3 linked regions of the Drosophila melanogaster genome follow. The protein of the gene in region 3 interacts with the protein of the main gene of each other region in a pairwise test. Each region holds a gene or a part of one and is shown on either strand. Other genes may lie near its edges.

Region 1 (4,740 bases), on a different chromosome or scaffold from region 3:
GCCCAAAAAGGCAGCTCCTTCGAGTGCACTTCCCCAGTTCCCTCTCGGGGAATAGGTCCCGAACTTTGTGCACTTACCTTTCAGTTCCCTGGCCATCCAACGGGTGGCAAGGAGCACGCAGAGCTTGGAGTGGGCAAATGCTTCGCGGGCGTGGAACTTCACCGACCAGGTGCCCACATTCAGGGGATCGTCGAAATCGATTTTGGCGCCCTGATGGGCATGGGCGGAAACGAAGAGGATGCGTCCTTGCTCCGAGCGTTGCAAGTGTGGCAGGAGCAGGTGGGTCAACAGGAAGGGGGCCAGATAGTTCACCTGGCTGTGCCGTTCGAAGCCATCCTCGGTGGGCATCTGAGTGTTGGCGAATACCACTCCGGCATTGTTCACCAGCACATCGATCCGCTCGAATTCCGCCATCAGCTGGCCGGCAAAGTGATGGACACTGCGCAGCGAACAGAGGTCCAAGTAGCGTGCCTCCACGAAGTACCTGTCCTCCGGATTGTCATCCTCATCCAAGGAATTCAGGGGTGTGCGGCAGCCCAGCTCACGTTTGATTATGGCCGCCGCCCGCTTCCCGGCCTCGAGATTGCGGCAGGCGAGGATTATCCGGCCACCTCGGCCAGCCAGAGCCTGGGCTATTTCGAAGCCAATGCCGCTGTTGCCGCCGGTGACCACCACGATTTGCTCCTTGATTTGATTATCGTTCGGACAGCGCTGGCCGCTCATTAAGGTCCTGGCATGCGGGTAAAGGATACAGATTAGATGGAGTTGGAAGGATGGAGAATGTTGGATGGCAAAGGGGCGGGCATGTGGATCAGTGGGTGTGGCTAGTGGTTTATGGGTAGCTTAATGATGTCCTGCATTCATGTTGCGTGTGTGCACTTAGCTAAATATTACCACTAAAAGTGATTCTTTTTATATGAAACTCATAAAAGATCTTAAAAAAAGAGTCATGCTTTTACAATCGAAGAAACTTTTTATATAAGATATTTTAAAAAATGTTATACATCATCAGTTTTGCGTATAGTAAGTTTCAAATTGACATAATTAGTTTAAAATAGATTTGCTTTAAGCTATAGCATGTTTTTTAATATTTTTGTGTAAAATAAACCTTATACATTTTTTCAAAGTAGTAAGGGTGGCGGTTAAGGGGTGGTAAAGGCATATAGTCGGAATTTTGGCTTATTGATAGGCGTTAATGGAATCAGCATGACTATTTGCATAAGTCTGCCTGCGGCCATTTGGCGATTTGGCTAACTCTGGCCGCTCATTTTCGACTCCATTAATTACGGTGCGTATGTCTGTAAACAATAATTGTCAATTTATTTAATTTCAAGCCTTGGGAAACAAACGAAATTACTGCAGCACAGGCATTATCTAAAGCTATATGCGAAATGTGTTTTAAACTCTAAACAGGTACAAAGCTCACTAATTAGTATATATTCGTGCTGTAGTCAATTAATTCGCATGGCTGAGTTCTAATTCATTTCCAATTCGTTTAATTGCACTTTTTGTGCGAGTTAGTCCACTTGTCTGTAAATTTAGTTTAATATTATGCATATTTGTAACAAAATTCCATTTGAAAGTAATAACTTATTTCGCTTGTAAGCTATCAGCTCAAATGCAGCTTATTTTGAAACTTTAAAAGATATTCACATAAGGTGCTTGATTTTTATTATAATTGGCTTTGTAAACAGAATGCTCACTGCAATCCAAATTTTAAGAGCCCACCTCTCCCGCAATCGAAGGCAATTTAATTTCTGCATTTTGCAGTCAGCTACTTCCTCTATAATCTTCACCGCATTCCATTTGCTCCACTTCATTTGGCGGCGACTTATTTTTGGCACTTAGAGCCAAGTTTGCCATGCCATCCCTCATTTTGGAATTCATTTGGCATTTCATTTACTTTGAGCCAAACTTTCGCAAATCCACTTTGTAAATATTTTGAGGTGGCGGAGGGGCTTGGGCGGGACTTGCTTGCAAGGGAAGTGCAGAGTGCCATATTGCAGTCACTGCCATTTCCGCTTCCGCTTTCCCAGCTTAAACTAACACCTGCAACTGCGAAACGACAGATAGCGTTGGGTCACAAAAACCGCGATGCTCGCGGTGCTCAGGAATAACAAAAACTAGTAGGCGGCGTGGTAAATTAATGGTTGAACTACCAGATACCCTGTACAAAACAAATTAGGCAAAACTCTCAAATTAGAGAAGGGCTTTCAAGAAATACTGTGTTGAATATGTATTAATCCATGTATGCATATAGAGCCATTCTCCGTATAGTGTAACGCTAACTTTACCAACTATATATAAATTTATTATTTATAGAAAATTTAAATGCTTTCCTTAAAAATGTTCTCTATTTACTTTTTAATGCATGTGTGTTTTTTAGTTGGCTACGTGTTCTATCTCCAATTTGTTTCGCATGAATAAAGTCCACCCTGTTAACCCTCGAGTACCGGAGGGTGTAAAAAACAAAAGTGGAAATAATCTTCAGATATTACATATTATCCGGGTCTTCTCTGCACCACTGCTCATCCACTTCCTCTCGAGTTCTCCACCATCTCCGTATGAAATCCACTTAAAAACTTTTCCGCGAATGGTGACGGAGGGGAAGTTTTTACTGGGATGCTGCGACATTTATTTACGTGTGTCCGAGGCGAAAGTTTTTATGCCCCAAAAAAATGGGGGCTTCTGGGGTACGGTAGGGTGCGGTGGGGTAGGGTAGGAATGGGGTAGGGAATGTGGCCGGGTGAATAAAAAATATCACACAGTTTCCGTTGACTCATCGCACTCACCGCACCGTAATCACAATGCCCACCGTGAGGGCCGCTATCGTGGGCCACCACGTGGCGAAGGGATCCGCCTCCTCGAACATGGTCAGCAATCGTTCCATCCTTGAGTGTATGCTTTGGATGCTACTGGGTGCGCGTTAGGTCCTGCCTCACTTTCTTCCCCTGCAATCGATGAATGAATCTGTGACTGGGTCTGCACGACACAAATGTTGAACGAAAACTGAACGGCATCCGTAGTAATAAATATGAATACTCTTTGCGTGGTCACCCGCTGGGTGCAGCATAAGTGAATGTATGTACACACGCGTAACTACAGTGGACACTTCCTAAATGGGACTACAGAAAGTGCTCAAAAATATTGAATAGTGGAAATCTTTAAAATACATGCAACGCCTCATGAAATGCTGTTCAATCTGGATCCGATTTCCTTAATCACATTTATTAAGTATTTATTTTTTAAGCTTTTTTGAAGATTTAATGATATTTTATGCCTACTGTAGTTTTGGTTTTGAGTGACCAGTAAAGAGCAAAAACTGAAACTAGCATGCCCACTTAAACGGGAGATACCCTAGAATAATCATGATTGCATATGTATTCGATTAGATTTATAATATATTCTCGTTTTAAGAATATGATAGTTATTTATGGCTGCTAGTTAGTTCTAAGTGATTGTTCCTATCGAGAGATGCCTGTTTAAATGCGGGCTTGCGAGTGGACCCGCTCTCATCTGAGCTCCGATTTCCAGAGCCGGCGGAGAAGATGTCGTTGACAATTGAATTTAAATGACCACCCCACTCGGCATCGCCGCCTATTTTTTCGACCCCTCAAACGTCACCGGCATATTTTCAATTTACATAAATGCTTGTTGCGCGGCATACGAAATGAGCGCTAGAACGAGAAGGGAAAGTGGCGCCCCCAAGCTCCTCATTTTCCTGGCCCTCGTTTGATTTTTCCGAGTTTGCCACCTGTCGTTGTGGCTCTGAAGGTTAGGTGCAAATTTGCACAAGCCGCAATATACAAGAACGTGAGAGGGTCGGAAAATGCTGCTCGCTATTTACACACGTTTTCCATTTTTTAATTTGTGTTTTTACTTCGCTTTTCATCCCATTTTTTTCCCTTCATTTTCTGCGGCTTACGCATTCAGTTTGCATATTTTTGTCTGCGGCAATGCAGACTAATGTGATTCAATTAATCTTTTCGCGTTTTTACCTCGAAGATTCCTTTTTTATTTATATTTATTCAAAAGTGTACTATATACGCCAGACTGAGTAACCACAAATTGTAATTATTCTTTAACAGCTGTTGTCTGGGATAAAATATGAAGAAAAGTGGTTTGGGATATAGTGGAACATTAATTAATGGGTGTGTTCTAATATTAAAACTAAGAAAACTTATTTAATATTTCAGATAATTAAAGAATTAGTCAATTATAAATTATGAAAATTAGATTATTTGATGATTTTTTAAACAGAACAAAGAAAGAAGAATTAATCTATACTACTATAAAATCTGTCAATTCTGAAGTGTTTGTAAACGCACTAACTGGAAAAGCGTTCTCCTTTATTTGTACTTACATAAATTCGTAAAAATACAAACCCTTAGAATGGAACACACTTATTTACCTTGTCCATTGGCGCACACGCTGTCCAAATTTATTATCCGACAAGAACTCAGCGAAGAGCCATCATCAGTTGTTCACGGAAAATGCTGGAAAATGCCATTCATTCGCTTTCGGTCCATTTCACCGCAAACCTCTCACCCTTTGAAACTTCAATTCAATTACGACGCATCCATAAAACATGCCAGTGACTAAATATATATTTTTCGAGTAATTTAGTTCGTCGTATCACATGCAATGTATGTAGCTTTCACAGCCCCTATGGGAGCCATGGACTATGGAAAGTGCACTCCATGCACTTTGCGCCTCCAGTTCGCAGTGTGTTGTTTCCAT
Region 2 (7,578 bases), on a different chromosome or scaffold from region 3:
ATGCAGAAGCAGCTGGTGGCCGCCGATCTGAAATTCAAGCTGGAGAACAGTATCCAAGAGGCCAAGCAGCGCCGGTTCGAGCAACTGCAGCAGCAGCTGCATCACTCCCCACACTTCAGTGCCATGCGGGAGGTAGAGCTGGCCGCCGCAGCCGCGGCTGCGCAACTGCATCATCATCACCAGCAGCAGCAGCAACAGCAACAGCAGCAGCACGCACAGCAGCAGCATGCGCAGCAGCAGCACCAAGGTGGCTCCGAGTTCATGAAACTCTACTACGATGACTACGACGACTCCAACTCGGACAGTGACGAGGAGATCAGCGTGACGTGATTTGCGACTGGAGGCGAAGATGGAGCTGCAACGGTCCGTGTACATATATGTTTTAATTGTAAATTTATTGATGCATTCAACTTATTGTATTTAATATGTGTATGATATTTTTTCGAATTTAAATTCCAAAACGAAATAAACTCCTTTGAAAATCATAATGCCAATACTAATGCAAAGATCACTTGACATTTCAGCAATCAACGCTGATTAGGAATATATATGTATATATAGGTTTTATTAGGTGTCTTAAAACGAACTAAACATAAAATCATTTCGTAGTAACATTAGTAAGTGTGTGTACAGAATACTGAGCCAACAACCTCGGCTGGGACTTAAGAACTAGAAATCACTCTTTCGACTAAACTAGGACAGTTAACAGATTGCGACTGGTCTTTGTACATGGAGGTTACATGGAGGTTACACAAGGAATTGGCCGGTGGGGAGCGTCGATCCCCGCCAGAGTTCGAGTTTTGGCTTCGAGTTCTATTCGTCGTCAATGCGAATGGCATGGTTCACATGGCCCTCGTCACTTGTGAGCTCTCGCGGATCGCCAATCACCGTCGTGGTGGTGTACTGCACCTGGGAGTCGCTCTTGAAGATCTCCTCCGACACGGCGGGATTGTCGATGTCCTTGCCGGTGATCTTCAGCACATTGCGTCGCTGGATAAAGTCAATGATCAGCGAAATGAACCAGCCCAGGAAAACGGTGAGTAGGCAGCCGATCATGCTGTACCACATGTAGCTCAGCCGGAAAATGGGCCAAGATCTGTAATTTCTGGGTTAAGTAAAATATATATATCTAGTACCTAAGATGTTATCTTACGTGAATCCCCCCTCCTCAATGACTTCCAAAGGTTCTGTTAGCAAGCTGCCAATGATGTTCGTCATGTTCACATGGCAGTCGCATTTGTCGATGGATGTGGGCAATGCGGGCTGCTCCACGCTCACAATTTGGGCAACCACGCCCACAAATATGACCAGGGCCAGGGACAAGAGTCCTCCGTAGAAGGCGCCCTTGGTATTGGCCTGTTTGCAGGCGATTCCCAGCACGAAGAGACCGAGGGTGACACCACCAATCAGTCCATTGAGGGTAAGCGTGGCCTGCAGAACTCCTCCCAGGTGCTCCACGATGAAGACCAAGCCGAAGGAGGCAATGCCAAAGCCCAGGGACATCCACTTGGCATAGGTGGCTCCCTTCTCCGGAGAGATTTTGATGTTCATGCCATTGACCAGCAGATCTTCGCAGGTCACAGCGGACAGGGAGTTCAAGGCAGAGGCCACGGTGCTGTTTTTGAGAAGGAAAAACTTTGAATAAGACTTCCATAAGCTGTTCTGGAGTTTAAGAGCTCACCCCAAACTGGCAGCAAAGATGCCAGCCACAAAGATTCCCGCCACGGAGCTAATATGCTCGTAGGTATTAATCACGTAGTAGGGCAACAACTGATCCGTGGCTGAAATGCGTCCAGCAGTCAAGGGATCGCAGTCCGCATAGTGGGTGAAGACCATCAGACCCGTGTAGAAGTTCAGCAGGAAGACCACAATTAAGCCGATAATGGCAAAGCCCAGAGCAATCTTGGCTAGCCTCAAGGACTTCAAGGACATGCATTTCTGAACGGACGCCTGGTTGGTGCAGAACAGCGAGGTCCAGTAGAAAAAGCCACCAATGACCACCGACCAGACGGTGTGACGTGTTGTGGGATCGGGATCCATGCTGCAGAATTAACCAGAATTGTTAAGGTCCTTGGATTCATTTGGCTTAACTCACTTGAAGAACTCCAAGCGATTGTGATCGGAAGCAGTCTGAAAGACCTGGATGGGATTGCCACTGTAGAAGCAGCCCAAGCCCACGATCAGTACCAAGGATACAGCCAGGACAGCAGCCTAAAAGGATTTAGATATATCTTCTCGTATTGATGAGTTCCACCATCTCGTTACTCACCTGGAAGGAGTCGGCAATGACTACAGCCTTCATGCCTCCCTGTGAGGAGTAGAAAACGCAGACCACATAGATCAGGACCACGGCGATTTTGGTGTCCAGTCCCGTGGCCTTAGACAGAGCAATTGCCGGTGCCAGGACTGCCACAGCCGTGTAGAAGCACATCTGAAGGAGAAGGAGTCTATATATAAATCTCATTCATTTTCGAGTTAAATCCCAGAACCCACCTGAATGACATAGAGCACTGCACCCAGAATCCTGATCTCCTTGCCAAACCGAATGCCCAGATACTCATAGCAGCTGGTGAGCTCCATTTTAAAGTAAATGGGATAGAAGATCTTCACAGCAACCGGAATGACAATCACCATGGGTATTACGATGAGCACAAACTGGGTGCCCTGGAAGTACATCTCGGATGGATTTCCCAGCAGTTCGATGGCCGTGATGAAGCTGGTCGTGAGACTGAGTGTCACCGGGAAGATGCTCATCTCGGAGCCCAGCAGGAACTCGTTGGACGAGCTGCCGCCCTTCTGGAAGAAGCCATAGAAGATGCCGATGCCCAGCGAGATGACCAGCATGCCCAGCAGAATCACGTAGTCGTAGCCCGAGAAGGTGGCCTTGTGACTGGGCGCACTGCATTCCTCCAGCTCCGCGGATGCGGGAATCTGTTGATTCTTGAAGGCTCTCAGGAGCAGGGTGGCGGCATTATCGAACTCCACATGCTCCTGGGATTCACTGGGCGACTCACCGCGCACTATCAAGTACTTGTGGCTGGAATCCAAGGGAGCAGATCCTCCTGGAGTCGGAGACCGTTCCTGCAGGGCCAATGCGGTTATAGAATGTGCCAGGGCGCACAGGGTCAGCAACTTCAGAATGGTGTCCTGGGTGGCGAACATCCTGGATCACGAGCAAGGACTAAGGATGGGGATCGAAGGATGGCGATTTCCGGGAGATCACTTTCTCCAGCCGACTTTCCACCCGGCGACGTGTGCGCAAACTGAAACGAGATCGGATCGGAAGCGATTTAGACTTGGATCACTGGCAAGATCAAGGTTCGCAAAGAGGAATTGCAACGAGGCGGCATTACAAAGCACCATCGCACCGTGGGTGTCACACTTGGTGTCATCTTGGGGCCCATTAATTAATTAACCAAACGATCTGGATCTGCGGCTCTGGATCCGGAGGAGGGGAGGCCATCGACCATTGGCCAGCGTCTCATGTTCAAGTACAAATACATTATTTCCTTATACAAACAATTCCATTTGAGCGTAATTGCTTTATGATTAATATGTTTTCTTCATGGGGCGGCAGTCAAGGCAACGCTCTTCTTTTTTTTTTTTTTTGGGTGATATTTCTTTTTCGGATTGTGGATTTCGGATTCCCAGATCCAGAGTTATGGCTCTTTTGGGGTTACAAGTGGACGGGCGATGAGCAAGAAGGCCCAGCAGAAAGCTGCCTCAAACTGGTCGTTGATTTATTCAAACTGGTTATTTCTGGCCAAAAGAAATCGCACGGCTTGCAAGTGGTAAGGAATTTGTTAAGATATTTGATTTTATTTCACGCCAATTCTAGGATGTATTTCATTGCATAATGCTACTCGATGTGTAACAAACTTTTTTAATATATTTCAATTTCCTTGCTGATTTATGCAATTACTTGTCGTTTTAATTGTCAAGTATTTGAATTCATTACACAAGCCTTATCTTTTGAGTAACTTAAATTTATTACACATGCCTCCTCCGTCTCCTCTTAATTGTTAAATCATAAAACACACATTCTGCAACTGATCAACGATGGCAATCACTTCCCCCATTCAATTGATCCCCAACACTCGACAATTATTCTTGATGAGACCAGAAGCCATGGCGCCTCCTCACTCCTCCTGGCGCCTCTACTGCCCCCGCCCACTTTTCCGGCCAATCAAACCATTTGAGAAAAGCTGCTCCTGTGCGACATGGACATGTATGCACCATATGGCCTGAATGGCGAATAGATTGGGCTACAATGTTTGAGCGAAAATGGGGAGTGCGAGCGCGCCAATCGAGATTTAAGCGAATTCAACTGGTTTAGATCGGTGGCCATTGGACTGAGCCGGATTGCGCCGGTTTGGGCCAGAAATTCGCCATCGCTCGGCGAATCTTCGAAGAGCAGCTTCCAAGTCTCCGAAGGCAAGGCCGGAAACTAAGAGCAAAAGGCCCGACCACAAGAGAGATGTCCAGATGCACAGAGAGAAAATACCAGTAAGGAATGGTCTAGGCTCCTTCTAGTTTCTAGCTCATCGTAGAATATTTTATTCAAGTTTACAAACTTCTGATTTGAGTAATCTAAACTACGAAATCATATTTATTGCTCATTTGTTTGTTGGCTATTTGTGTTTGGGGTGAAACCCGTTTTCCTTGGTGGAGGAACACACGGGTCAAATGAATTGTGGGCTCTGGTTGAGGACAGGCGTCTGGCTTAATTGGTGGACTTTCGCCCAGCCCATTCCAAAGGCCCTTCGCTTCCATTAAATGGCATCATCATCGTCTTCGAGCCCAATTAATATGCGTGTTTTGTTTTGCTTTCCTCGGCTTTTTTTTTATCTCGTCTGGGCGAACTCGCTTCTATTCTATTATAATTAATTTAAACAAAATAGTCCGCTTGACAAGTTGGCAGAAGATACCAATCGCAAGCAAGGAGATTTTCCACGGCCACGACAGCTGCAAACATTACCTAGTTCAAAACTGGCGAGATTAGCCAGCTAAAAAACAGAGTGAAGTAACACAAGCGACAAAATATTAAAATGCCTTCGGAATGGGTATAAATACTTTCAGCTTTATTAGCTTGTTCGACAAATGCATTTTACAAATTGTTTTTGCCCTCGCAACTTTTTACTCTAGTTTTAGTTAGTCATGAGTAATTGGAATAAATTTCCTTTGGGCTAATGCTTTTTACTATTCTGATGTTCTGAGATATTTTGCAACTACCAATTATCAGTGACAATCGGTATGATAAATTTCGAAATAACTCACTGGCATGCATTGCCGCTTTCACTGAAAAACTGAACAACTTCTCACCTTGGTTAGTAATTTTTCAATTCGTCAAATTCGATATCCTTCGGTTGTCGTCTTCGTTTAGCTCTCAAATGGAATTAGGTTTGCTGCACTGTATCTTAGAAATGTTCTGAACTGGATTTGCAATATTGTGCCACGATTGTTTCTGTATTTCATTAACGTGTTTTCTTAGTTAGTCACAAAATGAAACTGATCACTGTTTGGATTTGGTTCCTCGAGCCGAGTCCTTGCCGTAGTTTTTTTTTCACTTCGAGCACTAGTTGTTTCCCTTTTTTCCCAGCTCGTCGTCGATCGCTGTTCGAACGTATTGACAATTTTTAAATGAATGAGTTTTGCAAGCGGCCGTTACGCTATTTTATACAACACCCAAGGCGGCGCAGGCAAATCACAGATCTCGGATCTCAGGCCTCGGATCTCAGATCTCGGGCTCCCAGCTTCAGCTTCGGGAACCCCACCACATCGAGATCTCTTTGGGGTCTGAAAAGCGAAGAAGAGAGAAAATCGATCTAAGAGCAGGCGAAGCGTCGCCGGATATGATATCGCCGATCTCCACGGAGAGGGAAACTCGATCGCCAGCCAATGGTCGTGTGGAGTGCTAAGATATAGGCAACTTATTTTCAACAGACTCTGGGCACTAAGCCTATTTTAAAAAATAAAACCAAAGACATTATGGTTCATACTATAAATGAAACAGATATTAAATATTAAATGTTTATTAATGTAATATTATATAACTTTAAATTAAAAGGTTAGTAGATTGAGAAAATGATAGGAAACTTATAATCAGGTAGGTATGTAGGTATTAAGTAAATGTATATAAAAATATGATGGGTATAAGTAAAATAAGCTTGAGGAAACGTTTAATTGAAAATCGTGTATAAATGTTTGCCAAACCGTTTCCTAAATTGCTATCAATTAATTTCAGGGAATTGAAACGCTCTGATTCATATGCGAAGATTCATTTTCAATTCTGCAGAAGACGCTCCACGAATGGCCGGAAAATATCCGGTATTTTCCAACTCCTTTGCATATCCCTCGATGGCGATTGTTAATTGTGGCAAGTTGAGCCAAGTGAAATGCGCTGTAAACAAACATAAAAGTTTAATTGCTGGTTCTTGGCCAGTTTGGGATTGCGTGATGTGTAAATATTTCCATTTGTCTCACCCTTTATTACTTTTTAAGTAACTCGAGTCACAAAGGCAAAAAGTGCGCCAATTAATAATGGAAACGATTATATCTTTCGTTTTTTGTACACTTGTCGCCTCGCCTCAATTGCTGGCTATGTGGTGTTTTACTTGGATAACGATAACGAGTTCGATCTGGTACGATTTTGATCAGGAATGACACTCTTTCTCCCGCTAATAGAAAATTATTTGTTTACAATTCCTGTGCGCCAGTGTGGGTGTTTAATTCTAATTGAAATGTATTCCCAGTTTGAATTTAAATTTGAACTGAAACGGCGCCGGTCAGTTCAAAAAGAGTTCAAATCGCAATAAATTGATAAATGTAAAATGTATGTACATATCTAGTATGTAGTGGCAAAAAGAAAGGGGGTCTCCAAATATTCAGCAGGTACTTCCCCCCAAGCGGAAAGTCACCAAATCGACGCCCATTTTTCTAAAGGTCAGTGAGTTAGCTAGGCAGATATGCACTTAAGCATGAAGCGTGTTGCATTAATTAAATATGCCCGCCATGTCGTTAACTAACAGTCTCATGTAAATCTTGGCCATTCAACTACCTCAGCCGACGAAAAGCAGTTAAAAGCAGTTCGGCAAATGCGTCTCGGTGTTTAGGCCCGAAACGATCCCATCCCATGCCATTCCAATTCCATTCCATTCCAAATCCCCATCCCCATCCATATCCAAAGCAAATCCAGCTAACTCTGTTCCTCGGATGCAAGTGGCCGAAGACGTCACAAAACTGGTCGAGCCCCTCGTCCGCCAAGTGGTTCTTTCGGACTTTGGTCCGGTTGGGTGGGTATCAAATCACATCACATCAGATCCGAACGGTTTTTCAAACATTACAAGACAATCTTCACACGTGCTGGCTGCGTGCTGTCGAAACTGAAAATACGCAATACCAATAAAAAGAATTTTGGATTCGATTCCGGCATTACACAAGATCAAGCACCCCTCCTCCGTCCTCCCTCTATCCATCGTATGGGAATTGGAGAAAGCGTAGTAGTCAATTAATTTACTAATGAGAGTGGGCGTTGACATTGCTAAAACACTTGTTTATAAAAACAGCACAGAAAAGAAC
Region 3 (2,902 bases):
TGTAATTATGGATATGTTCTCTTATCGATAGGAACAACGGGAAGTGTCATACTTACAACGGCCATGGCGAAAGCTCCGTAAAATATTTCATTTCATTTGATAGGTCCATTTCGTAAGTGTTTAAAAATTCCACTTAAATGTTTCAGTTGTTCGTTGGAACCCCTCTTTTTACTATAATATAATAAAAAAAAGACACTCAGAGAAAAATCCGTTTTCAACCATCTCGATTTGACAATTTCGACCCCAAAATCTAGCTAAGATTGAATAATGCTCACCATACTCAGATTGCAAATGACTTTGCTCTCATTTGCCTTCCTCTCTCAGTTTTTCAACCTTTCCCTTCCGTCTGAAAATATCAACATTCAGATCGTTTTCGTCTCGAAATCGAAGGTTAATTCTCAATTTTTCTGGGTGTACTTTTTTCTAGTCTCTTAATTAATTCAGCAACTTAAACTTTGCCCGATAGTGCGATCAAAACGAACCTTGTTTTTTTCTTTATGTGATGTAAAATGAGGTAAGTTATAAAGAATCGTCCAAAAAGTTATTTATCGAAAATCATTTATTGAATATTTTGTAGAGCATAGAGGTCAAATTTATTCCTTGCACTTTTGTTCGCAGAGCTCCTGGGTTCCAAATCGGTTCTCATTGCCGCCGCATCCGCCGTAGATGAACTTTTCACACGAATTGGTTTCGGGATGATAACTGAAGCTGGGTATAAAAGCGGCACACTTGATGAGACCATTGCCATCAATACCAGCGGGCAGTCCACAGATAGCTAATAGATTGAGAATGTGAATTAGAATGGTTTCGATTTCCTGAGCAGCTCCCAACTTACGATCCTTGAGGCCGAGGGCCACAGCCACCAGGGCGAACATCAAACAGACGGCAGCAATGAATTTCATACTGATTGCGATTTTGAAAACTATGTATATCTCCCAGCTTCCGTGGAACGACTAATGGAAATCGGAGGTGTAGCACTAGGTTATATACGCCATGCCGATCGGCAGATGGGAACTACATATTGGCTGGGGATCTTATCTATATGCTCATGAACTTTCGGTTCATTAACGAGTGCTCGTGAATTTGGTATATAAACAGACGAGACTTCGAGTACTATGTGCTAGTGCTAGTGTTTGTACTGAAAATAATGCCGGAATAGCAAATAAATCTAGGAACTACGTTCTGAATAAAGTAAACACGATTAGGCAGCGATTTGTCATTCGGAAGTGGGTTTGTCCGATTTTTTCCCAAATTTCATTTATTTCCTCTTTTGCTTGTATAATATATTTATACATTTCGTTTTCAGAATCTTTGCGATATAAGTGCATTATAAAAGTAGTCATATTTTATCAAAATTACTGTTTACACTGTTTAGTTCCCAAGATTAATTAAAATCGTCTATTCATGACTCAAGTTTTTGTGAGTCCGTCGGGTTTCGAAATTAATGACTTTCCGAGATGTACTGCTAACCACTTCTGACACTTACAAATGTATCTACATACTGTACTGCTAGTACCAGATGTGCGAATAAAACGAAATAGATATATAAATCACAATGGTATATTTATTAAAATTTATAATCAAATTATTCAAATAATCAACTCAGTAAAGAAATGCTTTTAAAAGGCTGATGAAGTTGGATGACAAATAAATTACAAACTAAGAACTACAATTTTTTAAGACGAGGTGCTAGTTTCTGTGGCCACTTCGCTGTTTTGTTCGGTTGTTGAGTCCGTGGAGGAAACCGCAGACTTTACCAAACATGCCTGTTCGCACTGCTCCTTGGATTCGAAGTTGTTCTTGTTGCCGGCACATCCACCGTAAACGAACTCCTCGCAGGATTGTGTATCCACGTTGTAGGCGTAGCGATAGAACAGAGCGAAACAGCGACCGGTTTCCTTGGGCTGATGACAGTCCTCCGGAACAGTGAGCTCACTGGCATCAGGCAGGGGTTTGGCCACCGCGGGCTCCTCCGCCTTCTCCACGACGACATCCGAGGGAGCTGCACGAATTCCGGCTGCCAGGAGCAGAACAGCCGCGAATACTATGAAACTGAAGCTATATCTAAAGCACATTTCGAGTCCGTTGAGTGGATGATGAGCGAATGATTTCGGCTCGCTCGGATATTGCGGCTTAAATACTATCCGTCCGAACTGATTAACTCACGTACTACTATACTCACTCAACTGGGTTTTTGCCCACCGTTTTGCCTCTTTTTGTGTACTTCATTTATCGGAGCGCCAGCTTGTTTGTCCAACTGATTCGTCGCCGCATGTAAATCACGGCGGTGCCTCTCTGACGTCTATATCCACGTCCATATCGATATCACCTGGCACTGACAGCTCTCGGAGAAGCTTTCGCGGCCCAACCTTCAATTGCAGATCAACGCACCAACGCAAGTCAATCATAATGCTGGCCATAAAATCATATTCCAAGTGGCTTCCGTATCGGTGTGACAATTTTAGTCAGCCAAATCACGTTTAGCGAGCGGAATGGGAATCTAACTGAATTACCTATAAACTGGTTAACTGTCGGTTGAAGTTTTTTGTGTATCTAACGAATGGGGTAAGCTTTGGAGCTTCAGAAGAAATGAATAAACTGTCTGGTTAAGAAATGTTCCTAATAATCGCTCGTTTGCGATTCTAATCATTAGGTAATTTTCAAAATTGCGCATATAGGTGGAAAATAATGCACTTAATTTCTTAATTCCAATTATAGATAAACATTTGATATACTGCTTACTTGTAATTAGTTAATTATTAAACGTATATATTTCGCATTAGCAAAAACCCATTTCAAGTAATTATTTTAAAAATACATCAACAAATAATTTCATCTAGCATTTACAATTTAAAAACAATCTCGTATTTTGTGACCGCCATCAATGGATCACTTTTTGGGA

What was found. The genes of interacting proteins can lie anywhere in the genome.
Region 1: the proteins of IM33 (region 3) and naz interact in a two-hybrid assay, tested with the Drosophila melanogaster proteins (one large-scale study listed by BioGRID).
Region 2: the proteins of IM33 (region 3) and CG5687 interact in a two-hybrid assay, tested with the Drosophila melanogaster proteins (one large-scale study listed by BioGRID).

The regions. Positions count from the first base shown.
Region 1 is NT_033777.3:18,325,929-18,330,668, forward strand, and holds the start of naz (nazgul), read right to left. Parts: upstream 3,015-4,740; 5' UTR 2,891-3,014; coding exon 2,793-2,890; intron 731-2,792; coding exon 78-730; intron 1-77.
Region 2 is NT_037436.4:1,933,119-1,940,696, forward strand, and holds CG5687 (uncharacterized protein), read right to left. Parts: upstream 5,986-7,578; 5' UTR 5,476-5,985; coding exon of another isoform or gene 5,380-5,475; 5' UTR 5,323-5,379; intron 3,264-5,322; 5' UTR 3,163-3,263; coding exon 2,494-3,162; intron 2,432-2,493; coding exon 2,270-2,431; intron 2,212-2,269; coding exon 2,096-2,211; intron 2,042-2,095; coding exon 1,682-2,041; intron 1,616-1,681; coding exon 1,154-1,615; intron 1,097-1,153; coding exon 814-1,096; 3' UTR 515-813; downstream 1-514. Other genes in the region: Dbx, read left to right, coding at 1-330; CG46523 (uncharacterized protein), read right to left, coding at 5,380-5,475.
Region 3 is NT_033779.5:3,695,697-3,698,598, forward strand, and holds IM33 (immune induced molecule 33), read right to left. Parts: upstream 963-2,902; 5' UTR 903-962; coding exon 836-902; intron 776-835; coding exon 594-775; 3' UTR 522-593; downstream 1-521. Other genes in the region: CG3604 (uncharacterized protein), read right to left, coding at 1,677-2,075; CG10031 (uncharacterized protein), read right to left, coding at 2,890-2,902.